2 linked regions of the Oryctolagus cuniculus genome follow. The protein of the gene in region 2 purifies or fractionates together with the protein of the main gene of each other region. This does not show direct contact. Links are inferred from orthologs where the notes say so. Each region holds a gene or a part of one and is shown on either strand. Other genes may lie near its edges. The genes, in order: WDR20 and VSX1.

Region 1 (14,735 bases), on a different chromosome or scaffold from region 2:
CACTGTAGCAGGTAAAGCCACCTGTGACACCAGAATCCCTAACTCTTGTATTTTTTTAATCATTTTTTTAAAGGGGAGACAGAGAGAAAGGTCTTCCTTCCAACGGTCCACTCCCCAAATGGCTGCCACGCCCGGAACTACACCAATCCAAAGCCAGGATCCAGGAGCTTCTTCCCGGTTTCCCATACGGGTGCAGGGGCCCAAAGACTTGGCCATCTTCTGCTGCTTTCCCAGGCCATAGCAGAGAGCTGGATTGGAAGAGGAGCAGCAGGGACTAGAACCGGTGCCCATAGGAGATGCCAGCACCAAGGCGGAGGATTAACCAAGCGAGCCACAGCGCTGGTCCTCTCTCACCCTTTTAAATAAATAAACAAAATCCTAGGAAAAAAATATTGCGCACAAAATCATACAATCTTTAGCACTGAAAAGGTCTTAGGACCATCTAAATACAAGAGCTCTTCAAAGTTTGTGAAAAATGAAATTAAAAGACATGTTTATTTTAGTTCAAGAAATAGAAATCCATGCATACTTTTTCCATAAAATGCAGTTTCTATGAACTTTTTAAAGACTCTCACCTACTGTAGGAATTGTTTCAGTAACAACTCTAGGCAGTACATTTCTGGCCTGGAATCTTCAGATAGAATGTTAGAGGATAAGCTCCTTTGGCTTAGATATTAAGCAATTCTGAGCACAGACATTTCTATAAAAAGTGTTTGTTAGTCAGTACATGGATCCCATAGGTAACGTGATTTCATAACACTAGGTTCAAAGCAATCTGTGGGGGCTGGTGCTGTGGTGGAACAGGTAAAGCCGCCACCTGTAGTTGCAGGTATCCCATGTGGGCGACGGTTCGAGTCTCGGCTGTTCCACTTCCAATCCAGCTCTCTCCTGTGGCCTGGGAAAGCAGTAGAAGACAGCCCAAGTCCTTGGGCCCCTGCACCCGCGTGGGAAGATCCAGAGGAAGCTCCTGGCTTCAGATCAGTACAGCTCTGGCCACTGCAGCCAACTGGGGAGTGAACCAGTGGATGGAAGATCTCTCTCTCTCTCTGGGCAACTCTGACTTTCAAATAAATAAATAAATAATTTTTTTAAAGAAGTAATCTGTGCCATTTGGTTATTTTCCAATACTACTTCTCTTTTTTTTAAGATTTTATTTATTTATTTGAGAGCTAGAGTTACAGACAGTGAGAGGGAGAGACAGAGAGAGAGAGGTCTTCCATCCGTTGGTTCACTCCCCAAACGGCCACAATGGCCGGAGCTGAGTTGATCGGAAGCCAGGAGCCAGAAGCCTCTTTCAGGCGTGGGTGCAGGGGCCCAAGCACTTGGGCCATCTTCCACTGCTGTCCCTGGCCATTAGCAGAGAGCTGGATCAAAGAGGAACAGCCGGGACTAGAATAGGCACGTATATGGGATGCCAGTGCCGCAGGCAGAGGATTAACCTACTTCACCACGGCTCCAGCCCTACTTCATTGTCCCTTGCTACACAATTTCCCAACTTTAAGAAAGCTAAATTTGGGCCAGCGCTGTGGCTCACTTGGCTAATCCTCCGCCTGCGGCACCAGCACCCCAGGTTCTAGTCCCAGTTGGGGCACCAGATTCTGTCCTGGTTGCTCCTCTTCCAGTCCAGCTCTCTGCTGTGGCCCGGGAAGGCAGCGGAGGATGGCCCAAGTGCTTGGGTCCCTGCACCCGCATGGGAGACCGAGAGGAAGTACCCGGCTCCTGGCTTCGGATCTGCGTAGCGCTGGCCGTAGCGGCCATTAGAGGAGTGAACCAAAGGAAGGAAGACCTTTCTATCTGGCTCTCTCTCTCACTGTCTAACTCTGCCTGGCAAAAAAAAAATAATAATAATAAATAAATAAAAAACAAAGAAAGCTAAATCTGTTATCTACCAACAGTAGTTCTAAATGATTTAAAAAGATACAAGCAACTGAGGCTGGCATGGTGTAGCAGGTATGGCTGCTGCCTGTGACATCTGCCACCTGCAACATTAGCATCCCAAACAGGCAGGAGCTAGTTGGAGAACCCTCCAGCTCCACTTCCGATCCAGCTCTCTGTTGATCTGCTGGGAAAGCAACGGAGGATGGCTCAAGTGCTTAGGTCCTGTATCCACGCAGGAGATCCAGAAGCAGCTTTGGGCTCCTGGATTCAGCCTGGTCCAGCCTCAGCCATTGTAGCCATTTGGGAAGTGAACCAGTAGATGGAAGATCTCCCTCCAACCCCCACCCATCTCTTCCTCTCTCTGTGTAACTCTTTCAAATAAATAAATACATCTTTAATTTAAAAAAAAAAATGAGCTACTAAAAACCACCCACGTTACTTTTGTGCTCAAAATTGAAAAGGCTTTTTAGCTTCTGAATATCTTTCTAAAGTTTGGGAGAGATGGTTTTATTTAATCATTCACTCAACACATGTAAGGGCTCAACTCCACTGAGCACTGGGAAAGCAGACAGCAGGAAAGACACCGTCCTTATTTTAAGAGGGCTTTGTGTGTGTGTGTGGGGGGGGGGGGGGGGGGTGCTGTGGTGCAATGGTTAAAACCCTGGCCTGCAGCACTGGCATCCCACTGGGTCCTGGCTCCTGGCTTCAGATTGGCTCAGCTCAGGCAGTTGTGGCCATTTGGGGAGTAAACCAGGGGATGGAAGACACACCTCTCTCTCTCTCTATCTTTCAAATAAATAAAATCTTTACCAAAAGAGAAAGAGAGAGAACTATTTTAAAAAAAAAAGGGGTGGGCACTTTGTGGGGCTGACACTGTGGCATAGCAGGTAAAGCTGCCACCTGCAGTGCAGGTATCCCATCTGGGTGCTAGTTTGAGTCCCAGCCGTTCCACTTATGATCCAGCTCTCTGCTATGGCCTGGGAAAGCAGTAGAAGTTGGCCCACGTCCTCTGCGTGGGAGGCCTGGAAGAAGCTCCTGGCTTCCGATCCGCCCAGCTCTGGCCGTTTGGGGAGTGAACCAATGGATGGAAGACCTCTTTCTCTCTGCCTCTGTGTAACTCTGCCTTTTGAATAAATAAATCTTTTTTTTTTTTTTAAGAAAAGAGGGCTTTGTTTATAGAAGAGATAGATTATCACACAGAGAATTTACAAATTGGGAAAAGTGCTAGGAAAGCAAAGTACAGGCTGCTCTGAGAACTTGTAAAAGGGGAAAACTGACCTATCTTGGGAATTCAAAGAAGGATTTGCTGAAGAAGTGATGGTTAAGCTGAAATCTGAAAGGGGAACATTCCCATTTATGTAAAAACAGATCTCCATAAAATGAGATTGTTCCTATAAACCCAGCTACCTTTAGCATCTCTATCCAAAAACAGGCGTGGGGAATCTTTTCTTCTGCCAAAGGCCATGTGGATATTTATAACAGCATTCACAGGCCACACTAAAATAATCAACTTAAAACTTAGCCTGCCATGGGGAGGGTGTTGTGGCACAACTGGTTAAGCTCCCACCTCCAGCACTGGCACAGGATCACTGGTTTGAGTCCCTGTTGCTCTGCTCCGCACTCAGCTCCCTGCTGATGTGCCTGGGAAGGCAGCAGAGGATGGCCCAACGACTGGGTTCCTACACCCATGCGAGAAGCCCCAGTTGCTATGACAATCTGGGGAGTGAATCAGCAGATAGAAAATATTTCTCTCTCTGTAACTCTACCTTTCAAATAAATAAATAAATCCTAAAAAGGAGAGGAGAGGAGAGGAGAGGAGAGGAGAGGAGAGGAGAGGAAAAGGAAAAGGAAAAGGAAAAGGAAAAGGAAAAGGAAAAGGAAAAGGAAAAGGAAAAGGAAAAGGAAAAGGAAAAGGAAGAAAGGAGAAAGAAATCAGCCTGCTACAGATCCCCTGGCCCTTGGGTCCCGCCTGCGGTCGCCCTGGCAGGCCCAGACCCAGTGATTTGGCAGACGCTTTCATCCACCGCCCAGGACTGCCACGACGATGCAGTGAAATAAAGTGCGGCAAAACGCTGAGGTAAATTTTGAAGTGCTTTGCTTATCAGGTATCTCTGTGACCAAAAAGCGAGATCCGTTTCTTCCTTTTTTTTTTTTTTTAATTTTTTTTAAAATTTATTTATTTATTTTTTGACAGGCAGAGTGGACAGTGAGAGAGACAGACAGAGAGAAAGGTCTTCCTTTGCCGTTGGTTCACCCTCCAATGGCCACCGCGGCCGGCGCGCTGCGGCCGGCGCACCGCGCTGATCTGATGGCAGGAGCCAGGAGCCAGGTACTTCTCCTGGTCTCCCATGGGGTGCAGGGCCCAAGCACCTGGGCCATCCTCCACTGCACTCCCGGGCCACAGCAGTGAGCTGGCCTGGAAGAGGGGCAACCGGGACAGAATCCGGCGCCCTGACCGGGACTAGAACCCGGTGTGCTGGCGCCGCAAGGCGGAGGATTAGCCTAGTGAGCCGCGGCGCCAGCCACTGTTTCTTCCTTATAATCAGTTGAGGCGCCAGCATTGTGGTGGAGTGGGTTAGGCTGCTGCCTGTGATGACAGCATCCCATGAGCGCTGGTTCTAGTCCCGGCTGCTCTACTTCCAATCCAGCTCCCTGTTAATGCACCTGGTTAATCAGTGGACCATTGTCCAAATGTCTGGGCCCCTGCCACCCATGTGGGAGACGCAGATGGAATTCCAGGCTCCTGGCTTCAGCCTGTATCAGCCCCAGTTGTTGCAATCACTCTGGAAGTGAAGCGGCGGGTCGAAGATTGGTCGATCTCTCTCTCCGTAACTCTGCCTTTCAAATAAAACAATCTTAAAAACAAAACAAAACCTCAGTGTACTTCATTTTCCTTACTATGGGAAAAAAAATTATGATACAACTTTGCATCCCCTCAAAAGCCTTAGTTTTCTCTGAAAAAGGTGAAACTACTTAAACTCTAATGTCTGTTCTAGTTCTCGACAAGCCCTATCAACATCCTAACAGTGCTACAGGCAGGGGCTCGGCGTAGCAGCTGAGATGCCAGCTGGGGTGTGGCATCCAGCACTGGAGCTGCTGCACCTGAAGCCCAGTCCCATCCCAACCCCAGCTCTCTGCCTCGCAGATACTGGAAGGCAGCTCCCTGTCACAGACACGGGAGGCCTGGATTTTGTTCCCAGCCCAGGCTGTTGCAGGCATTTGGGGAGTACACCAGCAGATGGGGAGTTTTCTGTCTCTCTAACAAATCAGACAAATAAATGGGACAATACTGTATTCTTCAGGGTAGGTGTCAGACTACTCCCTCATCTATGCCTTCTCCCCAGGACTCCATGCTTCTTTTTTGTTTTTGTTTTTGTTTTTTTGACAGGCAGAGTAGATAGTGAGAGAGAGAGACAGAGAGAAAGGTCTTCCTTTGCCGCTGGTTCACCCTCCAATGGCTGTTGTGACCGGCGCACCGCGCTGATCTGATGGCAGGAGCCAGGTACTTATCCTGGTCTCCCATGGGGTGCAGGGCCCAAGCACTTGGGCCATCCTCCACTGCACTCCCGGGCCACAGCATATATCAGCATATAGTGCACAGCTCAAGATTTAAGTTCTTTAAAGATCCATTTTCCATTCACCTTCCATGTGGATTTAAGTTACATTTACTCATCCAAATTAGACCTTCTGAAGGATCCCAATAATTGTTATAAAATTATATACCTTGAAGAAAATAACTTAAAAAGTTGAAATGGCCAACTGTCAAAAATACATTTATGACTATTAACTCTCAAAAATAAATTTTGGCTTTCTAATTAAGAATAAATTATTTGGGCCAGTGCTGTGGCAATGTGGGCTAATCTGACACCTGCAGTGCAAGCATCCCATTTGGGTGCCAAGTTCAAGCCGTTCCATTTCCGATCCACTCCTGCCAACGCACCTGGGAAAGAGCAGAAGATGGCCCAAGATCTCCCCTGAGCACATGCGGGAGATCCAGACACAGCTCCTGGCTCTGGTCTGGCCCTGCCCTGGCCATTAGGGTCATTTGGGTAGTGGACCAGCAGATGGAGGACTTCCTTCTCTCTCTGCCTCTGCCTCTCTCCCTCTATGTAACTCTGCTTTTCAAATAAACAAACAACTCTTTAAAAAATGAATTATTTGGGGCCGGTGCTGTGGTGTAGAGGGTAAAGTTGCCGCCTACTGTGTTGGCATCCCATGTGAGTGCCGGTTCTAGTCCTGGCTGCTCCATTTCCAATCCAGCTCTGGCCTGGAAAAGCAGTAGAAGATGGCCCAAGTCCTTGGGCCCCTGCACCCATGTGGGAGACTGGGAAGAAGCTCCTGGCTCCTGCCTTCAGAGTGGTGCAGCTCCAGCCATTGCGGCCATCTCGGGAGTGAATCAGTGGATGAACGACCTCTCTTTCTCTCTCTCTCTCTGCCTCTGTCTCTCTGTAACTCTGCCTTTCAAATAAATAAATAAATCTTGAAAAAAAAAATGAATTATTTGTTGTATTTAAAAATTGGAAATTGGCCGGCGCTGCGGCTCACTAGGCTAATCCTCCGCCTTGCGGCGCCAGCACACCGGCTTCTAGTCCCGGTCGGGGCGCCGGATTCTGTCCTGGTTGCCCCTCTTCCAGGCCAGCTCTCTGCTGTGGCCCGGGAGTGCAGTGGAGGATGGCCCAAGTGCTTGGGCCCTGCACCCCATGGGAGACCAGGATAAATACCTGGCTCCTGCCATCGGATCAGCGCGGTGCGCCGGCCGCAGCAGCCATTGGAGGGTGAACCAGCGGCAAAGGAAGACCTTTCTCTCTGTCTCTCTCTCTCACTGTCCACTCTGCCTGTCAAAAATAAATAAATAAATAAATAAAAATTGGAAATTAGAGTCACAAAATCAATCACTTACATGGAAAACAAAAACTTTAAAATTACAATGGCTAGAAGAGTTGAAATGTCTGCCAAACAATGGAAAAGCATCTGTACGTTACTATCACTTAGGAGTCGGCACAGTGGCGTAGTAGGTTAAGCCTCAGCCTACAGCACCACCATCATTGGTTCAAGTCCCGGCTGCTCCACTTTCCAATCCAACTCCCTGCTGATGGCCTGGGAAAGCAGTGGAAGATGGCCCAAGTGCTTAGACCGCTGCACTCAAGTAGGAAACCGGGAAGAAGCTCCAGACTCCCAGCTTCAGCCTGGCCCAGCCCTGGCCACTGCAGCCATGTGGGGAATGAACCAGCAGATGGAGGACCTCTCTCTCTTTCTCTCTCCCTCTCTTTGTGCTCTCTTTGTCAGTAACTCTTTCAAATAAATAAATAAATTTTTTTTCAAAAAAGTTACTCCCACCTCCCACATAAAAGTAAGAATTTACAAAAAAAAAAAAAAAAAACAGGTAAAGTGCTCAAACTATGCATATGAGGGCAACTTATGTATTTCAGATTTGTCTGGGGTTTTGTATTAGAAGTTACTAAAAATAACTTGTTTAAAATAATTCCTTTGAAGCTTTGAAAAGCTCTCTTAGTTTCACCCTTCAGTGAAGAGTGTCCCAATTTAAAAAAGGAGCACTAATATAACGATAATTTCAGGTGTGAAGACCTGTTATTATGGTGCCATCCAGGGATACCAGATCCAGATAAGGTTTGCCATTAAAATCCTTCATCAATACTAATCTTTCAAAGAAATTTCTTTTCAAATAATGTCTGCACTAGCACTGCTAGTGTCAATGAACTTGGTTTTAAGCACATCGCCCTTTCATATAAATACAGCTGTTAATAACCTAAAATCCTTAATTTATCTCCAGAGAAAGCACTGATCCTTGCAGTCCTAGCATGGATGTCAAGATGGCAGCTTCCTGTTGGACATCACTCTTCACGCCTGTTTAACTATAGCTTACATCTGCTAGTGTTTCAGGGCTCTCGAGCTCATTGCAGTGAGCTTATTATTAATTATAACACACACACACTGCAATAGTTCCTTTTTAAAGAGGGGCAGTAGAAACTAAGTAACTTACCAAGGTCACCCGACAAGCTAAGTTGGTGACAATGTTGAGAACAGGAGGAAAACTTGGGCTACCACACCTCAGACTTCCGGCCGAAAGCGGAGGGGGACCGCATACCCCACCGTCAAACCCAGCAGTGCACTAGCAAAGGCTCGCCCCAAGGGAAGGGACAACCTGCTCCATTTAGACAGGGCTGTCAGCTTCCCAGCCCCGGTAAGCAGGAAGAAACACGACCCTGGGTCCGGGTCTGTGAAATCACAGGGCCCGTCCGCTCGTGCCTGTGGCAGGCGCCGTTTCCACACTCACTGCACGTGTACAAACGGTGCTTTACCACGGTCTCCTCGCCCCGCCAGGAGCCAAGTCGAAGGCCACCTCTCAGGGAGGACAGTTACTCACACAGAGAAAGAAAAGCCCTCGCAAATCGCTGCTCTTAAAGAGATCGCTGTAAAGGAAGATCACAGACTCCAGAGTCCCTGCTGAGCCGCCCCAGGAGACGGGTCCTTCACAGCAGCTTTCAGGCACCTCCCTGCCCGTGCGGGACACAGTCCGACTTGTTGGACCAGGCTAATCCGGGCAGGCTCACACAGAGCCCCGCTGCACCAGCTCCGGCCACCGAGAACACCGATTCCAGCCCGCAACCGCGGCGCTCGGCCCAGCCCACCCCACGAGGGGCAGGACGACCCCTCCCCAGCAATCGGCCGGGAGGCCGCCCGGGGCGGGGCGGTGACAGCCGAGCTCCGCGGACGTTTTTGGAAACGGCGGTCGGGAAGTGTCAGTGCGGCCGCAGGTGGAGCAGCCCTGCGTGCCCAGAAGGTCCTTTCCGACCCGCTCCAGGCTGACAGACCCCTCCCCGAGCCCCGGCGGGACTCCCACCCCTCCGGGGAAGCCAGGCGGGCGGGCCGGCCACCTCGCCCCGCAGGCCCGCTCCTGGCCGTGTCAGCGCCCGGCGGACCCCGCCGGAGCCGAGGCGGCCGGCTCCCAGGCCTCCCAGCCGGAACCCCGCACGCCCGGCGCCGGCCCCCGGCCCCCACGCCCTCGGAGCGCCGACGCCACCACCCTGCCCACTCCCGAGCCCCCTTTCCTCGGGAGTCCCTCAGCGGAGTTGCCGGCCCACTCCAAAGTAAGAGCGACGGCCACCCCTGCCGGTCACCCCGGCCCCGCTGTCACCGCCCTGCCCCCGGCCTCCGCCCACGCCGCCGGCGGGCCCCGGTGACGCCCGGGTCGGTACCTTGCGGACCCCCTTGTAGATATAGAAGTAGAGCTCCCGGCCCACATTGAAGCAGAGGCGGTCGCCGTTGCCAGACTGGTCGTTGAGGTTTACGAAGGAGACGCGCACAGGGTTGGATCCCTGCGAGTTGAAGGGCACCCGGTTGGGCCGGCTGTACTCCGAGTGCGGCAGCAGCTTGTACAGACCTTCCCGGGTGGTGAATTGGGTCTTAATCTCGTTCATCTCCTTCCCTCCTCCCTCCGTCGCCATCTTGGAAAGCAGCGTTCATCCTGCCCTAAGTGCCCGGATCACGCCCACCGCGCAGGCGCCGTCCCCGGCGTTCGCTCTCCTCCCCCCGCCTCTCCCCTCTGGCCCCGCCCACCCGCGGGCCAGCCCCACGGAGGCGGGCCGAGGGGACGGGGCGGGCTTGTTTACGGCCCGACTGCGCACGCGCGCTGCCCCGGCGGCTCCACGCGGCGGGGCGTGCGCCGGCTCCTCCCCCGGGCGTCGTCTCGCGGCGCCGCGGCTGCGTCCTGGGGTCGCGGGCTCGGGGTGCCGAGGCGCTGGCGGGGCTGCGGGTGCCGCGGGAGCGCCGGTAAGGGAGAGCCGCGGCGGGAGTGAGTGAGGGCGGCCTCCTCGGCTGCTTCCGGCCCTGCGGCGCTGAGGGGAGGGCGCCGCGCCCCGAGGGGTCGGCTCGTGAGGAAGCCGCGGGCGGCGGGGGTGGCGCTCTCGCCGCGGGCTGGGGGCTGTCCCGCCCCGCGGGCCCGGAGGACCCTCGCGACCGGCCCGTGCCGCGGCCCGGAGCCCCTGCGGCGGAGTCGTGCGGGGGAGGACGGTGTGTGTGGACTGGCCGTCTGAGGCGTGAGGCGCGCGGGGCAGCGCGGGGAGCCGGATCATTCCTGTTGCTTCGTAGCTGCTTAGGCGCCCTCAACGAGATGAGCGGAATTGAGTTTAGAAATGCCCCACGCGGACCCGCGAAGTCCAGGTGTGCGAGGGTCGCGGTGACCGCGGACAGCCGCTGGCGTGCGCTAACGCGCTTCTAGGGTGACGTTCTGATGGCATTCCGGGGCAGAGCCAGTGCTTGCCGCACCGAGAATGACCAGTTCCTGCGTGCTGACGTCGTCGGGGGGTCACCAAGGAAGGGGGTTCCCCCTGGGGGGGAGTCAGAGCCGCCAGCCGGGGTTCACCCTGGGGAGGGGGGAGTCAGAGCCGCCAGCCGGGGTTCACCCTGGGGAGGGGGTAGTGTCAGAGCCGCCAGCCGGGGTTCACCCTGGGGAGGGGGGAGTCAGAGCCGCCAGCCGGGGTTCACCCTGGGGAGGGGGGAGTCAGAGCCGCCAGCCGGGGGTTCACCCTGGGGAGGGGGGAGTCAGAGCCGCCAGCCGGGGTTCACCCTGGGGAGGGGGGAGTCAGAGCCGCCAGCCGGGGGTTCATCCCTGGGGAGGGTGTCAGAGCCGCCAGCCGGGGTTCACCCTGGGGAGGGGGGAGAGGAGTGTCAGAGCCGCCAGCCGGGGTTCACCCCTGGGGAGGGGGGAGTCAGAGCCGCCAGCCGGGGTTCACCCTGGGGAGGGGGAGTCAGAGCCGCCAGCCGGGGTTCACCCTGGGGAGGGGGGAGGGTGTCAGAGCCGCCAGCCGGGGGTTCACCCTGGGGAGGGGGAGGAGTGTCAGAGCCGCCAGCCGGGGTTCACCCCTGGAGAGGGGGAGGAGTGTCAGAGCTGCCAGCCGGGGGTTCACCCTGGGGGGGGGGGTGTCAGAGCCGCCAGCCGGGGTTCACCCTGGGGAGGGGGGTGAGGAGTGTCAGAGCCGCCAGCCCCACCCCACCCCCACCCCCGTGATGGAACAGTGCGGCTGACCTAACCTGCTGAGCCTTTCAAAGCGCTGAAATCCTGCCGGGCTAACAGGTATCTGAAATACTTAAACATTTTTGATAGAATTGTTCTGATGTCTTTTGCCTTTCCCTGAAACTCAGGGCTCAGAACTCTATTTTAAGATGTATTCTGTGCCTAGCATGAGTTTGCCCCAATCTCTGGTAACTGAGTTGTTTTACATAAAAATTGTACACATATAATTGGTCATCTTGAGGGATCATGACATCCTGAATAAAAAAACGCTGTTTCCTAGTTAGCAAGGGGGAGAAGTACAATAACACATTTTTTTTTTTTTTGGTGGGAGAAAAACCTCAGCAAACAAAACAAAAACTTTTTAAATCCTCGATTAACTGCACCATTCTGTTATCCCTAATAGCAGTATAACTAAAGCGTTCTATCAAGGCTTTATTTTATATAGTCAGCATTTTCTGTTGTGATCATAGTAATAGTGGGCTGTTCATTTTTCTCATCCATACAGATGAATAATTTCTGTTTTAGTACTTTTAGTTTCCTCCACACGCATACACACTCAAGGATTCAGTAAAGCCCAAATCTTCGTAGCTGGGTCCATCCTAAAGTTCATTTCTGATTTCCATTTTTTTTTCTTTTCTTTTTTAAAAGATAGATTTGTTTATTTGAAAGTCTGAGTTAGAGAGGAGGAGAGATTCCATTCGCTGGTTCACTCCTCAAATGGCTGCAGCGGCCAGGACTGTGCCACACCAGAGCCAGAAGCCCAGAACTTCTCCAGGTCTCCCACTAGGTGCAGGGGCCCAAGCACATGGACGTCTTCTGCTGCTTTCCAGGTGCATTGTCTGGGAGCTGGATTGGGAGCAGAGCAATCAAGCCAGGATGCCAGCACTTCAGGTTTAGCTTAACCCGCTGCCCCATGGCACTGGCCCCTGATTTTCATTTTCAACCCGGATGTTTTTAAATGAAGCTGCACTTCAAATTCATCAGTCTCTAAACTTATCAGTTCCTTTTCCATTTCAAACTTGAATCATTATAGTAATTTCATAAGTATTTCCTTAATGTCCATTTGTTCTCTCAACTACCAAATCAGTTCTCTTAAAACAGTGCTTTAGACATTACATTCTCTGGTCCAAAAACATTTCATGACTTGTAGTATCTGCATTTTTTTTTAATTTATTTATTTATTTTTTTGAAAGTTATAGAAAGAGGGAGAGACAGAGCCTCTGTTCACTGGTTCACTCCACAAATGGCTACAACAACTGGGGCTGGGCCAGGCTGAAGCCAGGAGCTTTATCCAGATCTCTGATGTGGGTGACAGGAACTCAAGCACTTGGCCCATCTTCTGCTTTCCCAGGTGCATTAGCGGGAAGCTGAATTGGAAGTGGAGCAGCTGGGACTGAAACTGGCTCCCATATGGGATGCCAGCATCGCAGGTGGCAGCTTAACCGGCTCTGCCACAGCACTGGCCCCAGTATCTGTGTTTTTTAAGTCATGCACCAGCAGCCTGTACTTTAAAGGTTGCCTAAATCTTTATTCTAGTCATACTGTTCTGCTATCACTCTTAACTTTGTGACTTTGTCCCTTCTTCCTTTTTTCCTTCATAGCTTAGTTTTTTGTTTTTTGATTTTTTTTTTAGTTTTATTGCACAGAGGCAAACAGATCTCTATCAGCTGGTTTGCTCCCCAGATACCCGTAACAACCTGAAACACAGTCCTGGCTTGCCACATGGGCAGCAGGGATCCAAGTACTTGACCCATCTTCTGCTGCCTCCCAGAGTCCAAATTACAAGGAAGCTGGAATCAGCAGAGCTAGGACTTGAACCAGGCACTCTGATACAGGATGCAAGGATCTCACGCAGCAACTTAATGCACCAAATTCCACCCCAGAAAGTGACATTTCATCAAAAACTTCAAAGAAGTAAGGAAGTATGCCATTGGAAAAGCTAAGAAAAGAATAGACCAAGGAGGGGCTGGCACTGTGGCGTAGTGGGTTAAGCCGCCGCCTACAGTGCTGGCATCCTATGTGGGCGCTGTTCGAGTCCTAGCTGCTCTACTTCCTTTCCAGCTCTCTGCTATGGCCTGGGAAAGCAGTAGAAGATGGCCCAAATCATGGGCCCCTGCATCCATGTGGGAGACCCAGAAGAAGCTCCTGGCTCCTGGCTTTGGATCAGTGTAGCTCCGGCTGTTGCAGATGGAAGACCTCTCTCTCTCTCTGCCTCTCCTTCTCTCTCTGTGTAACTCTTTCAAATAAATAAATAAATATTAAAAAAAAAAAAAAAGAGAGAGAGAGATTAATGAATCTTAGACATACTCTGAAGATAAAGCCACTAGGATTTGCCAGCAGACTGGATGTGGCTTTTGGGACAAATGAGAAAGTCAGAAATAATGTAGACATAAGCAGCTAGAGGATGGAAAAGCCATTAACTCAGATAACGGAGGCTGGGGATGGTCGAGAATTCAGCTTGAACACACTGGATATGAAGTATCAGGCATTCGGAGGAAATGTCCAGGAGGCTGTTGGAGAAGCAAGTCTCGAGAGTTCAGAGCTGCTGACGGGTATTTGGCACTCATCAGCAGATAGGTGGTATTTAAGGCCTGGTTGCTGTCAGCCGAAGAGTGAGTGAGGATAAGAAGCAGGACTGAGGACTGGACACTGGGGCAGTCCAAGAGCCTGGCCAGAAGAGTAGGACGATTTACTGATAACCTGAAGCATCCTGCTTTTTTTTTTTTTTTAATTTTTTTGCAACAATATGGATATTTCAGGCCAAAATTACCTTTTTCAGATTCAAAGTAATCCAGTAAGATACTCAAAACTTTTAACTTTGAGGAAAGTTTTGCTACAGTAACCCTGAGAAAGAAAATAGGCATAAATGGGTATCCTTAAGAACCACATTTGAAATACTTGCTGACTCAGTAAGTAAAGTAACCAATTTTAGATTTATCTTGTTGGACAAGCTTATTCTATTATTACAGATCTATTTATTGTACAACCATTATGGGATTTGAAAAGAAATTTGGAAGACATTATATAATATACTGTCCCTAATATAGCATTCCTACTTTGTACAATGTTAAAATTGATACACCATTGGGATTGCTAATTTTTTTTTTTTTTTCAGATTTATCTGTTTGAAAGGCAGAGTAGTAGAACACAGAGAAAAAAACAGATCTTCTGTCTGCTGATTCACTCCCTAGATGACCAGGCCAAAGACAGGAACCTGGAACTCCGTTCAGGTCTCCCACATATGTGGCAGGAGCCCAAGCACTTGAACCATCGTCTGTTGCTTTCCCAGGTGCATTAGCAGGGAGTTGGATTGGAAATGAAACAGCTGGGACTTCAACTGGCACTCTAGGATTCCAGCATTGCAGGCAGTGGTTTAACCTGCTGTATCAGTTATGTTTTGTTTTGTTTTTGGCAGGCACAGTTAGAAAGAGACAGAGAGAAAGGTCTTCCTTTTCCATAGGTTCACCCCCCAAATTGCCACTACAGCCAGCGCACTGCAGCTGGCGCGCTGCACCAATCCGAAGCCAGGAGCCAGATGCTTCCTCCTGGTTTCCCATGGGGGTGCAGGGCCCAAGCACTTGGGCCATCTTCCACTGCCTTCCCAGGCCACAGCAGAGAGCTGGACTGGAAGAGGAGCAACCGGGACAGAATCGGCGCCCCGACCGGGACTAGAACCCGGGGTGCCGGCACCGCAGACGGAGGATTAGCCAAGTAAGCCTTGGCACCAGCAGTTATGTTTTTAAATACAAATTCATGTTGTGCAAAGTATCTTATTTCTATAATCTTTTAAATATTTATTTTATTTATTTATTTGAAAGGAATA
Region 2 (14,763 bases):
TAGCCTGGCAAATGATGCTAGGAAGAACACAGAAGCATCCCCTTAACAAGAGAGGGGAAATAGCCAAGGCCAAGTTCAAGATGAAGATACTAGAATTCACACGTGGGTCTGCACGGAGTCTTCACTACCAAGACATCTGATTCTTCCCAAGGTCACAGGTATTCGTATTTTCAAACTCAGAGCTCAGACGTCAGCCCTAACCTATTAATCTATACACTGTATGTGAACATCTCAAACGGTGCCCAGCAGCAGATCCCTGATCAAGTTCTACAAAACAGAATCGGAATTTTACACCCAGTTTGCTGGTTCATGTGCCTTCAAGGAACAGTCTCCATTCTAGAATGCAATGGGATTTTCCCTAAGTCACCCATCTGTCCTCTTAAAGTAGGTGATGTTGCATAAGGAGAAAGTAAAAATGAGAATATTTGTCTCAGACCACTTTTTTCTTTTGAAAACGCCCTGGGGTGATACAGCTCTCTGCAGCCTCTGTGGCTGGGACCTGTGGGTCTCTCGAGGCTCCCAGCTTCCTGGGCTGCAGCCTGTCCAGCCCTGTGGAGTCGGAGCAGCCTCGGGCACCTGCCGCACACTGCACCTCCTCGGCCTCCTGCCGGGCAGAGCTGGAGAGATCCATGGCTACGTCTTCCAAGGCATTCTTGGAGCTCTCCTTGTCCAAGCCTCTTTGCTGCCCTGCCTGACTCTGGCTGGAGCCTTCCTGGAGATGGTCAGGGCCCCAGAGTCGTGCCAACCGGTCTTCACTTCCTGGTTTCCTTACCATCTCCGTGGATTTTTTATGCATCCCTTGTGAAAAAGAACAAAATACACACCTTAAAATTCAGCAATTAGTACATTTCTTCCTTAAAATTGTCATTGTCGATGCCTATCTCTGGGACCTACGGGAGGGTCAGGTAGGTGGTGTTTACCACCATTAGGGCTGCCGGCTAGTGGCCGGCACCAAAGGTACTCTGTTTGGATAACAGTGACTCAGCACTTTCCTAGGTGCCCACAGCTCTGCCAGCAGGCTCCCTACTTCAGATGGGTGGGCATGGCCTCCTGCCTCATTTTCTCTCTCTCTGGTCTCTTTATGAGAAGAGATTACAGTCTGGCAAGCAGGCAAGGTACTGGCCCCTGCTGTCAATAAGAGAACAGGGCCGGCGCCGCAGCTCACTAGGCTAATCCTCCGCCTAGCGGCGCCGGCACACCGGGTTCCAGTCCCGGTCGGGGCGCCGGATTCTGTCCCGGTTGCCCCTCTTCCAGGCCAGCTCTCTGCTGTGGCCAGGGAGTGCAGCGGAGGATGGCCCAGGTCCTTGGGCCCTGCACCCCATGGGAGACCAGGAAAAGCACCTGGCTCCTGGCTCCTGCCATCGGATCAGCGCGGTGCGCCCGCCGCAGCGCGCCGGCTGCGGCGGCCATTGGAGGGTGAACCAATGGCAAAGGAAGACCTTTCTCTCCGTCTCTCTCTCTCACTGTCCACTCTGCCTGTCAAAAAAATAAAAAATAAAAATAAAAATAATTAAAAAAAAAAAATAAGAGAACAGGGTGAGACATGGTGGGGGAGGTTGCTCCAGCAGCCCAAAGATCTAGCTCATTGCCCAGAACTCTGCAACAAGTCAGCTGACAACAGCTAAAGAACCTGATGACTGGCTGATGGCTTACTTGCAAGATTGACATCTTAGCCAGCCAATCGAAAGAAGTCACCATTTACCAAGCTAAAACTCTGTCTCAAAGCCCGCCAGACAGCTTCCTCCTCTAGGAGCCTGTCTAGGTGCCTAGGATTTTCTCTGCCTTTTCCTTTATCATTGCAGCCTCTGCTCTTCACTGCTTCCTGTCTGTGTCTTTCATTCTTCCTTGGTGTGGACCCAGCCAGAGCCCAGTTGAGTACTAACACCAGAATTCCTGCACCAGTCTGCTGGGTAGATATTCCAGATGTGTTTGCTGGACAAAGACACCTACTCCTTCCCAACCTACAACGCCACTGGGGGAAGCAAAAACTGGACCTGCCCAGGAGATTTGCAGCCCAGAAGACACAAAGCAGCGAATGCGGAACCAGAACCAGAACCAGGGGCAGGGGTAGGGTCCTGGCTCTAGGTCTCTGGCTCAGCAATGCCCTGTTCTTATAACCTGTGCCCCGGAATTACATGGTTTCTACACATTCTAACAGCATTCAACACGCAGGTGCACTCCGAATAAGTTCCCCAGCTGTGAACAGCTGGACAGGATCTTTCCACGCACTGCCTGCACGTGTCTAGGTTAAATGATCAGGCACTCTCAGCCACTGCAGGCCTTATCACTCACCAGACATTAGAGGCAAGGTTCTGTGCCTGAATTTGTGTCCATGGACATTGCTCTGCTTCACCAGCGGCTGTGCTGGGTGTGCGTGTACGTTCACACATACATGCACGTACACACAAATGCACACAAACACACACACCAGGGCCTTCTCCTTACCCAGGAGCCAGGGCACGCAGGCCCCGCGCAGACCGCCCTCAGCCGCCTTGAGCACGGAGTCAGGCAGCGGGATACAGTGACGCACCATGGCCCCATACAGCCCGTACTCGGCCATCACGCTGCTGCCGCCCCACCGCTTCTCCCGCTTGCGCCACTTGGCCCTCCGGTTTTGAAACCAGACCTGGATGGAGGCAAGAGAGGACACAGAGAGAGTAGGTGGTGAGGAGGGTGGTCTGGCAGACCCGAACCGTCCCTGCTCTGAGTTCTAAAGCGGGTCCGCCTCCCACCCGTGCAGGGCAGGCATGCCCTGCTAGCTCCAGCAGGGGGCTGGAGGGCTTTCTCTGCAATCCGGAATGGGCACGATGACATCAAAGCTCTCTTTCCTCGCTGCCTTGGGTGAAGGCGTGGGCTGCGGATGTTTGCTGTTTTCATTAATGGGGAAAAGTTCTTTGGAGCAGTTTGTAAAATGAATCTTGTGGGCTTGCTGCAGCTTTTAAAAATGAGTGAGTTAGGGAGCCGGCGCCGCGGCTCACTAGGCTAATCCTCCGCCTAGCGGCGCCGGCACACCGGGTTCCAGTCCCGGTCGGGGCGCCGGATTCTGTCCCGGTTGCCCCTCTTCCAGGCCAGCTCTCTGCTGTGGCCAGGGAGTGCAGCGGAGGATGGCCCAGGTCCTTGGGCCCTGCACCCCATGGGAGACCAGGAAAAGCACCTGGCTCCTGGCTCCTGCCATCGGATCAGCGCGGTGCGCCCGCCGCAGCGCGCCCGTGGCGGCCATTGGAGGGTGAACCAACGGCAAAGGAAGACCTTTCCCTCTGTCTCTCTCTCTCACTGTCCACTCTGCCTGTCAAAAACAAACAAACAAAACAAACAAACAAAAAAAAATGAGTGAGTTAGGGACAGCTGTGGCAAAACAGAGAACAAAAGTCTCTCGTGCGTGCGTGTGTGTGCCTGAGTGTGGGTGTGCACGCAATTGTATATGTGTGCATGAGTGTGCAGGTCACCCTTTGGGGCTGGATACACCTACATGCCCATACATTCATCCCATATGACAGCACATCGTGACAGCTGATTTCTCTAGAAAGGACGACAGTCCCATGATTTCTCAGTGATATATCTGCGCAGTTTCTAGCGCACGTTCTTGTGGAAATCTAAAGAATGATTCAATAGTAAATAACAGTAAAAGGACAAAACGCAGGAGGATCCCAGGGACAATCTTCTCATGGTGCCTTTGGCTAAAGGATGCTACGCATTGTGCTGTGGGGGGTGGCTGTGGGTGCGCTCGCCCAGGTGGGGGATAGCACGCCCCCTTGTGGCTTGTGTGGGAAACACATACACACCTGGATTCGATCTTCTGGGAGCTCAGTTTTCATGGCCAGCATTTCCCGGGCATACACATCAGGGTAGTGGGCCTCGCTGAACGCCTTCTCCAGCTCTTCCAGCTGCAAGGCACTAAAAACCGTCCTGTGGAGAGTCAGAAGCACACACTCAAGTCCACGCCGGGAAGGCAGGCTTCCCACCTACTGCTCCCCACCATCACCATGATGCTCAAGCCCAAAAGCCACATCCTGAGTACTGGACATCCCACTCTTAGCCATCAGCCTCCATAGAAACCAGAGCCTGCTTCAAACAAAGACAATTCTTTCGTGTTTTCTAAATGAATTTCATCCGTTCGTTTTGACAAGACCCATCTTACAGATGCACAAAACCATGGCTATCGCCTGCTGGGAAGATTGTTCCGTAGCCTCCTGGGAGTTGGAGGCTTATCGCCCCCTGGTGGATACTGTGCCCTTCCTCCTGCCCGCTAGGAGTTACAAGGGACGCTGCCATATCCCAGGGCCATGAGTCCTCGGGTGCGGGGTCCCCAGGAAAGGTGGCCAGAGAGAACAGCCCACCCTGTACCTGTGCCGCCGCTTCTTCCTCTTGCCCAGAATGGGGGACTCCTTCAAGTCACTGTTCTCCTCAGACGGGCTGTCCTCATCTGCCCGCACAAAGACAAGAAGAGAGCCATGAAGCTTGTTTGCGTGTCCTGGATTTTATGTGAGGGTTGAAGTCACAATCCTACTGGGAATATGAGCATCTGCCTACACAAACCCACACTGCTAGCACTCACTAGAGTCCAACGTCCACACCTTATGTCAGTCCTCCATAAAACATAAAAACTCTACCCACCCACCCCCCCCCCACCCCCCGCTGCTGTTATCCTGTTTTGACAGACATGGAAACCAAAGCACAGAGATACTAAGTGACTGTCCTGAGATCACACAGGCAGTGAATGGTGAAGCTGCAATTCAAATGCCAGAGTGTGTGCAGCCAAAGCCACTCAGCCACTGATTGCATTGTCTGTCCCCACAGCCTCTAGATCCACTCACTTGCCTGTGCCTCCCCTCTCCTCCTCTTAACCCCCATACCAACACCCCTCACAGGGAGAGAAGGTGAAGGCGACAGAGCTGCACCCTGTTCAGAACCCCTGGAGGCAGGGTCGGGTGGTTCCCAGATGCCCTGGGAGAACCACTCCACTTGTGCCTCATCTTTTGATGGCCATCACATCAAAAGGTCCAGATGGAAAGAGAGGCAAGAAGACCAGAGTATTGTCGGATCCATGGTTTATAAACAATGATTGCAGGCAGGTGTCTGGTTCAGCAATTATAATGCCAGTGGGGGCATTGGAACGTCTGGGTTTGAGTCCTGGCTCTGGCTCCCTGTCAGTGTAATTTGTAGGAGGCAGCAGGTGATGGCTCAAGTAATCAAGTCCCTCTCACTCATGTGGGAGACCTGAATTGAATGCCTGGTTCCTGGCTTTAGTCTGTTCAGGTCCAGCTGTTGTGGACATTTGGGGGGGGGGTGAATTAGTAGATGGGAGTCCTGTCTGGCTCTGCATGTGTGTGTGTGTCTACTTCTGAAATAAATAAAATCAATATATATTTTAATTTTAAAAGTATAATTGCTTCAAGTTTTTTAAAATAATTATTTATTCAAAAGGCAGAACGATGGGGGTGTGGGGAAATAGAGAGCAAGAGAGAGAGCTTCCATCTGCCATTTCATTCAAATGACTCCCACAGCCAGGTCTGGGCAAGACCAAAGCCAGGAGCCAGGAACTCCATTCCATTACCCCACATAGGTGGGGCAGGGGTCCAAGTATTTAGACTCTTCCCAGAGCCATCAGCAGGAAGCTAGTTGGGAAACAGGGCAGCCTAGACATCCACCAACACTGCAATGTGGGATGCCAGTATCACAAGCAATGGCTTAACCTGCTGTCCCACTTCAAATGTTTTTAAAGGATGAATAAAGATGAAAATAATAAAATAACACTAGATCCTTCTACATCAGCTCACCAGAAAACCAAATGCTTGGACATAGGATTCCATGCTATGCTGCTAACCTGGTGGCAACTAGCCACATAATATTAATGAGCACTTGGCTCATTAGTGAAACGTGGCTAAACAGGTTGAGATCTGCTGTAAGCACAGAATACTCAGTGGACAAAGTAAAACATTTTATATTGATTGCATGTAAAGTGTTGATACTGATATTTGCATGCCTTGGATTTAAAATATAGCATTTAAATTAATCCCCCTTGTTTCTATTTTCCTTTGAAGACAAAGTTGCATGCAACAAGTGGTCACAGGGTATGTCTTTCAGGTCAGCTCTCCCAGAAATGTCCCCACAAAGCAAGATTTAATTCCTTTCTCCTTTTCTCTTATCAGTGTCTGTGGAAAAAAGAACCCATCCTATGAAATCGGTTTCTGCATTTTCAAGGAAACAAGTAAAAGAGCCAGGGTTGTGGTCACTCCAGGTCACAGAGAGGCTCTTGAAGTGCAGCCTACTGCCTAGCTTTCTTTCCAGGCTGGCGATACCCGCGGCACTTTCTTGCTGGGATTGCCTGCCTGGCTGCCCCTTCTAGGTTCTAGTCGTGGGTACCTAGATCCTCATTTTCCTTGTAGTTCTCCCTCGTCTTCCCCCAGCAACGCAAGCCTCTCCATTTCTTGGTCCTTGTCAGTTACGGGGTTTCACCGCTTCCTTCTCTTTCCCCATACTCTGCCTGGATTTGGGGGTGACAGGTGCACCCAGAACCAAACGCAGGTTAGCCACAGCGCTGTGGTTAGCCATAGTGCATTCATTCAGCCAGGCAGCGTCCTCTCTTCCGCGCGCGGTCCCTTTTCAGCACCCCAGAGGCGGACAGTTCTTGGGCACCCGGCCCCGAAAGCTTTTGCCAGCCCGCAGCCAGTGCAGCTGGTAGACAGGACCCGCCCCCGCCTTCCCGATCCCCGCTCGCTCCTGGCGCGGAGGTAGAGGCCGAGACACCAGGATCTCCTCGCAAGGCTCCATCTGGCCCCTGCAGTGCTGTGGGCACCAGATTCTGGAGAATTGGGGTTCCCCCTGGGGCCCGCGGCGCTGCGGCGCGATTACGCCTCCCACTGGGATCCGGACTTCCCTGCGCTCCGGGACCGCAAGTGAGAGCGACCGCGCTTGAAGCCACCGGGATCAGGGGCAGGGGCAGAAAAGCAGGGCCTGGTTACCGGACGTCGAGGCGCTCTCGCTGAGTTTCTGGTTGCCCGGCGCGGGCGGCCGGCGCCCGGGGAGCTGCGGGGCGGCTGTCTCCGGCCCCGCCGGCCGCAGGAAAGGCACGTCGGCCAGCAGCAGGTAGGGCGCCGGAGCGGCGGCGGGCGGTGGTGCACCCAGACCACAGAGGAGGCCCAGCCCCAACGGGACCGCCCCGCGCGCCAGGCAGGAGCCGCCGAGTGCGGGGCCAGCGCACGGAGCCGCCGCTGGGCCCTCGCAGCCCGATCCCGGCCCAGGGCCCGCGGGCGCGGGCAGCTCGGCTTCCAAGCCCAGCAGATCGGTGATGGCGAAGCCGCGTGGGCGCGAGCCGCTGGGGGACCGACCCGGCACCTGCGCCCGACTCCGGGCGCGCGCGTCGGGAATCGCGTCGCCGCCGGTGGTCATGTCGTCTCAGGAGGCGAAGCTCGACCCTCTCTGGGTCACTTTGGGTTGGTGATCCAGCTCGGAGGACGTTTTATACGGCTAGGCTGCCCACTCCAATCAGCTGGGCGAGGGCGCGTCGCTGTTAGGGACCCCGAGAGACGGGATGCGGCCGACGGCCCTCCCCTCCCCTCGGTCGCCGCCCCCGCAGCTGCGGGCCCCGCGGTCGCTCCCTTAGTCCCTCTTCTCCCCAGCTGTCCCCTGCCCGCCCCGGCCCTATTCTCGGGTGGGGGTGGGGGTAGGGGGGTTGTGTGTGTGGGCAGGGACAAAACAACTCTCCTTCTGCCTGTGGGTCCAAGGCGCAGCCTCCCTTCCTTCCAGATCCTCCACGCTTACTGGACACGACCCATGAACTCCTAGGGCCCCTTCGCATCGCACCCCCCATCCACAACCAAAGTGATCCCCGCTCGCCCTACAACTTCACCGCAGGAACCTCTGAAAATCCCCATGGGGAAAGAAGTAAAAAAAAAAAAAAAAAAAAGTAACCCGTGCCTGCTCTCTGCCTGCAGCCAAACCCACACTAGAGTGGGTGGGTGGAGAGTTGTCGAAAACCCACACGCGCTGGGGGAAGGGCGTGGATCACAGAGCAGGGTGCCTGGCCAGAGGCCAGGTGAAGTCAGAATTTCAGATAAGCAATTATTATTTTTATTTAAATATATATGTACCAGCGTTTTATATAAACACGTTTAAACGGTGGTGGCGGAAGTTGAATTAAAAAGTGCCTCCTGGGGCGCAGTCCTCACCGGAGATAACAAACCGTGGCCAGGTTTTAGGATTATTGAAAGAAAGTTGTGTTTGCGTTTTGTTCGAGTTGGCGCCAAAGCAGGCAAGTGAGTAAAGCCGCTTGCTGGATCGGGCTTTGAGCCCACCCGATCCCTGTGACTCTGAGCCCTGGGCCCAGTCCGAGAGCCCTGGAAGCAGTCTCTCGCAGTCCCCACGGCCAGGGGTCTCCGAGAGAGCCAGGGGGACCCTCCGGATCTCCCGGGTGCGGCACGGCTGCCTGCGCGCAGCGCGGAGCTTGCAAAGCCGGTCTCCAGCTCGCCGCGCGTCAGCTAAACGAGCGGATTACACGCGGGCCTCCCGATCGAGATAATTACAAGGGGCTACGCATTAACTTTCCATTATTAAAGGAAGATCCAAATCTGCTCTGGCAAGCTGTTCCTGGGATTAGCAAAACAATAACTTTCCTTTGGGGTAATTGTCCAGGGCGGGGGCGGGGGCGGGGGCGGCAGCGGCTTTAGACGCCAGCGTTGTTTTCAGCTCGGCCAGGAATTCCTCTCCCCTCCCCCTCCAAATTTATCTCTGGGTTTACGGACTAGGCTCTGGGGACGCCGGTCCCTGCCGAAGAGCTCCCCTCTGAGGCGTCGTCCTTCGTAGAGCCGAATCTGGGGGTCCCAGTTGGGCGAAACTCCCACGATTCTACACATTCTGTAGCCCGGCCCCGGGGCGGAGAGGCGGGACAGGAGCCCCAAGGTGACCCACGCTCAAGGGAACTCTGGCCCACGCGTGCACCGCGTCCGCAGCCCGGGAGGCCCACGCCACCGTCTGCTGCTCGAGGATCTGGGATCCCCTGTCTCTCCTCCGCACCCAGTTGCTGCCTGGGGACCCCTAGGAGATGGCCAGGGACGCACAGACAACAAAAGGTCGAGCAAGGTCATCCCAATCTCGGTCGCTCCGCAAGATAACCCCGGCCTGGGGCCAGCGAAGGATCTTACCAAACTCATTTTGCGTATGAAAGAAACAGCCTAATAAACCTGGTCCCACTGGACGCTCAAAGAGAAATTGGGACAAGCGCAGCACTGCGAGAGATGCGTGGAAAGGGGACGCAGAGACCGCGAATGGGGTGGGGGCCGCTGAGGCCGTCCGTAGTTCCCCGCCTAACGCCGTCTCCAGCCCCACCAGGCACTAGGGGCGTTGGGGATCCGAGTAGAGGGCAGGCTGGATTCCAGTCCGGCTGGGTGGCGGCGGCGAACGCACGGTACCTCTGGCTGGCGAGAACCGCTTCCCGCCGGCCGGACCCAGCGCTGACCCCATCCCTAACCCCAGCTGATCAGCTCAGGGACCCATCTCCAGGGGTACAGAGCCGTGCCAAGCGCTTCGCTCAGTATGCACAGCGATGGAGGAAGGGCTCCAACTCCTGCGTGTCTGCGGGGCGCCTCACAGGCGGCTGCGTCCACCTGTACTCCCGCTTCTGGGGGTCGCCTCTGAGCCTTGGAAGCCGGGAGGATGGGGTCCTCCCAGCCTCCCTGCTCCTCACCCCCCGTGCCAATCGCCCGGGGCCACTCCCAAGAAGTCGTTTTGGAACCCTAAAAATCCATTAAGGGGTCTGGCTCTGCCTTCATCAGCCAGGATTATCCGGGATTTAACTAATCAGTAAAGGGGTTCTCCACTCATTATTTCCAGGGAAGGTTTCCAAGCCCTCTCTATCGCCCAACCGCGAGTGCGCCTCCGGCTTCCAGCCCGGCCACTGGCTCTCGAGGATCGGTCCTGCCTGGGTGCGTTTGGGCTCTTCACAGCTCCAGGCTGGGACTGGATGGGCCAAACTGGCCGGGGCCAGCAGTCCGTGGGGCGCCAGGGTGGGAAGAAGCGCCACCTTGGGAGTCCCTGGCTTTGCTGTCCGTCTGATTCTCCTCTGCCTCTGGCTGGGTTTTGAGCCCTCCTTACAGCCTCTGTAGCAGGCACTGTTGTGCCCCGTCCCCATCTCCTGCCTGGCTACCCAACCTGCACCTGGCCCAGCCGCTTTCTCTAGGCTAAGTCCACTTTGTCCGCCAGCCTGAGATGCCAAGAACTACCAGGTGTGAGCAGCCCTGGACCACAGACCAACACAGGCTGGATTATCAACAGCCTGCATCCTTTGCTTCTCCCAGAGGCACCCAGCAGGACTGTGGTGCAGTTCCTTGCTGCAGTCAAGCCCCACGTGGCTTCCTTCCCTGGTGCCCTTGCTCCCCACAGACAGGGACCCTGGGGGCACCTTCCCCAGCTTCTGGAATGTGGGCTGCCAGCAGCTCACCTTGCCCGCTCATGGAGAGAGAATTGCCCTGGACTGACAAAACTCCTTGATCCAGAACACACACACAGACACACATATACAAAAAAACCACACACATGCACACATAAAAACACACACACATACAATACACACATATACACAAAACACATACACATGTACACGTAAACACATACATACATACATACATATACACATACACATAATACATACACATACACACACATAAACATACATATACACAAAACACACATACACATGCACACATAAACACACGTATGCATACATACACACAAACACATACACATGCACACACATACACATAGCACACACATATACACATGAACACACATACACCCACACAATACACATACACACATAAACACACACATACACACACAAGCACACACCCACATATGACAACTGATACGAGGTACCATGTGAGACCACCCCTCCCCTTTCAATAAGGGACAGCTCTGTAGTTATTTCTCCAGAATCCACTCTCCTCGAGGGTCAGGCCACAAGTCCGAGCCTTGCTCAGCCCCTTTCCCCGCCCCATCTCTGGCCTCCCTTTCTCCTGGGACCTCCTTCCCTCCTCACCTCCAATAAATCTCGTGCCTCCAGACCCTGTCTCAGGCTCTGCCTTTGAAGCTCTCAACCTGGGAGGCTTCCTGTCCCCATCTCACTTCCCACTGGGGTTCCCCGAAGTACCTGCCCTGCACGACTTCTGCAATGCCCACTCAGCATCAACCTGGGTGCTTCTCCCACTCCCCACCACCACCACACGTACACACAGAAACCCATGGTGCAACCATCACGGCCCAGCAAAGGTCCTGAGGTCCATATCCAGCCCAGGACTTGCTCCTGCAGCCAGGTCCCCATCTCCAATGGTCTCCTGCCCATTTGTCCCCTAGGGTCTCCCAGGAGCACTGAATCAGCCCACCCAGAGCTGGATCCAGCTGCTTCCTCTCCAGTCTGCACTGCCCCGCCCCCACCCCAGGGGCCAGAATAGGATCTTGGGAACTGTCCTCAGCTCTCCACCCTCCATCCCAAGATCACCTCCAGCTACTGATGGTGACGGCCATTGCTGACTGCTCTTGGCTTCTTACGACGCACAGCTATTATGACTTCGATTCTGTGTCAGCTGGATGCACCTGTTTTCTGTGGTTTGCAGCCAGGAACACTGTCACTGTCTGGTGCCCCTCCTACTTCTTCCATGCTCTCCCCACTCCCTCCTTGTCCCACAGCCACCGTGGTCCCTGTTGGAGCACATCCCTGTTGCTCCTCACCATGGTGACACCAACTCCCAGCTCCTTCCTTGCTGGTGATGGAAGAGCAGTCGCATCACATGTATGGCTCACCAGCGTGTGACTGGTCTAAGTAGCCCCAAGCCCACCCAGACCCAGGAACAGGACAGAGACCCCCCTCCTCCCCTTCACAGCAGGAGCCCGTGTTTTAACACAACACTGACAGTGCCAGGTATGAGCAGAAGTCCCTTACCTGTTGAAGCCCAGCCCAAGCGGCTCCCAGCCATGGGCCCTTCCCGGATGACCCTACCGCAGCTGGAAAGTTCTAGACATCATGTAACTTGGTGCTCCTGAGGCCATCTTGTCTGCCCCTCCCTTTGGTCCTTTTGTGTATGTCCTCAGGTGTCCAGAGCCGTGTCTTCTGATAGCCCCTAGAAACACACGGTCTACCTTCCAAGTCGTGGCTCCTGGAAGTGGTCCCCTGACCATTTATCAGTGGGTCTCAAAGTGTGGGCCCTGGGCTAGCAGTATCAGCTCTGAACCAGTGAGGACAGCAAGGCCAGGGCCCCATCTGGCCCTACTGACCCAGAACCCCAGAGTGGGAGGATCCTGGGATGTCTGTTTACAAGCCCCTGGGAGCTCTGATGCCTCTGGATTCTAGAACCAAGGACTTCCAGTGAACTGTGTGTCCTCATTTGCTGAGCAAGCATGCCCTGGGCCCAAAAACACCCAGTCACCCCCAGATGCTCTGAGGCCCTCTGGGCAACACCCAAGCTCAGTGCTAGGAAATCTGCCACCAGCCAGCCAGGAGGCTAGGGAAGAGTCAGCTTGGCACCACAAAGAGAACAGTAGCAAAGAGAAAATACTCCTGAAAAGTATTATATACCAGTGCTAAATTTTTTTTTTTTTAAATTTATTTGACAGAGTTAGGCAGTGAGAGAGAGAGAGAGAGAGAGAGAGAAAGGTCTTCCTTCCATTGGTTCACTCCCCAAATGGCCACTACAGCCGGAGCCACGCCGATCCGAAGCCAGGACCCAGGTGCTTCCTCCTGGTCTCCCATGTGGGTGCAGGGGCCAAGCACTTGGGCCATCTTCCACTTCCCTCCCGGGCCACAGCAGAGAGCTGGACTGGAAGAGGAGCAACCGGGACTAGAACCCAGCGCCCATATGGGATGCCGGCGCTGCAGATGGATTAACCAAGTGAGCCATGTCACCGGCCCCACGAGTGCTAAATATTATATATCAGTGCTAAAACAAGTGGCCCTGTAAGTGGAGTCCTCCTCTGTGCCAGGTATGAGAAGTGCGTCACCTCCATCAACATATTTCCTCCTTGTGTCACCCCTAGTAAGGAAAGTCTCCTTGGCATCTACTTTGCACGGCACTGTCAGTGGAGAGTCTGGGACCCCACCCTGAGCATCAGGCTTGAAACAGCAGCATCACCATGGGGAGATGAGAAAGCTGGGGAGGTCTCTCACATGTGTTTGTGCTTAGTGCTATTTTTGTCTTTAATTTTTATTTATGTGAAGGCTTCTAAAAGTTTTAATCTTTCACTGCTCCATTTTCTGCCTATTGAGGCAGATTTCACACACACCATAGTTGTTCACACTGACCATGGTTGTTCACACTGCCCATAGTTGTTCACACTCCCTGTGGTTGGTTACATTCCCTGTGATTGTTCACACCCCCCATGGTAGGTCACACTCCCCTGGGGTTGGTCACACTCCCCATGGCTGGTCACACTCCCCGTGGTTGGTCATACTCCTTGTGGTTGGTCACACTCCCAGTGGTTGGTCACTCTCCCCATGCTTGGTTACACTCCCTGTGGTTGGTCAACTCCTGGTGGTGGTCATGCTCCCTATGGTTGGTCACACCCCTCATGGTTGGTCACATTCCCTGTGGCTGGTCATACTTTCCTAAGTGGGTCACACCCACGTTGGTGGTCACACCCCTTGTGGTTGGTCACACTCCCCATGGTTGGTCATACTGTCCATGATTGTTCAACCCTTGTGGTGTTTATAACCTCCGTTGTTGGTAACACTCGCCATGGTTGGTCACAATCCCCATGGTGGTCACACGCACCATGCTTGGTCACACTCCCTGAGGTTGTCAACACTTCACATGGTTGGTCATTCTCCCCATGGTTGGTCACAATTCCCATGCTTGGACACACTCACCATGGTTCATCACAATCCCCATGGGTGGTCACACTCCCTGTGGTTGGTCAAACTCCCAATAGAGCTCACACTTTCAGTGTTTAGTAACACTCCCCATGGTAGACCACAGTCCATGTTTGGTGACACCCTCCTGGTTGGTCACACACCCTGTGGTTGGTCACACTCCCCATGGTTTGTCATATTGTCCATAATTGATCAACTCCTTGTGGTATTCACACCCTCTGTTGTTGGTCACACTCATCATGGTAGGTCACACTCCCCATCATGGTCACATGCCCTGTGGTTGGTCACATCGCCGTGGTTGGTCACACTCCCCATGGTGGTCTCATGCCCTGTGGTTGGTCACACTCGCCATGGTTGGTCACACTCTCCATGGTTGGTCATTCTCCCCATGGTTGGTCATATACCATGTGGTTGGTCACACTCACCATGCTTGGTCATACTGTCCATAATTGGTCAACTCTTTGTGGTGTTCACACCCTCCATTGTTGGTCACATCACTACGGTTGGTCACACTCCCCAGGGTGGTCACATGCTCTGTGGTTGGTCACACTCGCCATGGTTGGTCACTGTCCCCGTGATTGCTCAGACTTCCCATGGTGGTCTCATACTCTGTGGTTGGTCATACTCCCTGAGGTTGGTCACACTCCCGCTAGTGGTTCACACTCTCAGTGATAGGTCACACTCCCAATGGTAGGCCGCAGCCCTTGTTTGGTCACACCCCCCTGGTTGGTCATATTCCCATGGTGGTCACATGCCCTGTGGTAGGTCACACTTGCCATGATTGGTTGCACTCCCCATGATGGTCTCATGCCCTGTGATTGGTCACACTCACCAAGGTCGGTCACAATCCTCATGGTGGTCTCTTGCCCTGTGGTTGGTCACACTCTCCATGGTTGGTCACACTCCCT

What was found.
Region 1: the proteins of VSX1 (region 2) and WDR20 purify together in Homo sapiens (affinity purification with mass spectrometry; 3 studies listed by BioGRID and IntAct, with this or other methods). This does not show direct contact. The link is inferred for Oryctolagus cuniculus from reciprocal best matches to the Homo sapiens genes VSX1 and WDR20.

Annotation. Positions count from the first base shown.
Region 1 is NC_091451.1:45,402,955-45,417,689, reverse strand, and holds the start of WDR20 (WD repeat-containing protein 20), read right to left. Parts: upstream 9,502-14,735; 5' UTR 9,345-9,501; coding exon 9,096-9,344; intron 8,414-9,095; exon of another isoform or gene 8,264-8,413; intron 1-8,263. UniProt on the Homo sapiens protein: Regulator of deubiquitinating complexes. Activates deubiquitinating activity of complexes containing USP12. Anchors at the base of the ubiquitin-contacting loop of USP12 and remotely modulates the catalytic center of the enzyme.
Region 2 is NC_091442.1:49,513,863-49,528,625, forward strand, and holds the start of VSX1 (visual system homeobox 1), read right to left. Parts: upstream 7,884-14,763; 5' UTR 7,390-7,883; coding exon 6,963-7,389; intron 4,424-6,962; coding exon 4,345-4,423; intron 3,907-4,344; coding exon 3,783-3,906; intron 2,627-3,782; coding exon 2,446-2,626; intron 799-2,445; coding exon 431-798; 3' UTR 1-430. UniProt on the Homo sapiens protein: Binds to the 37-bp core of the locus control region (LCR) of the red/green visual pigment gene cluster. May regulate the activity of the LCR and the cone opsin genes at earlier stages of development. Dispensable in early retinal development.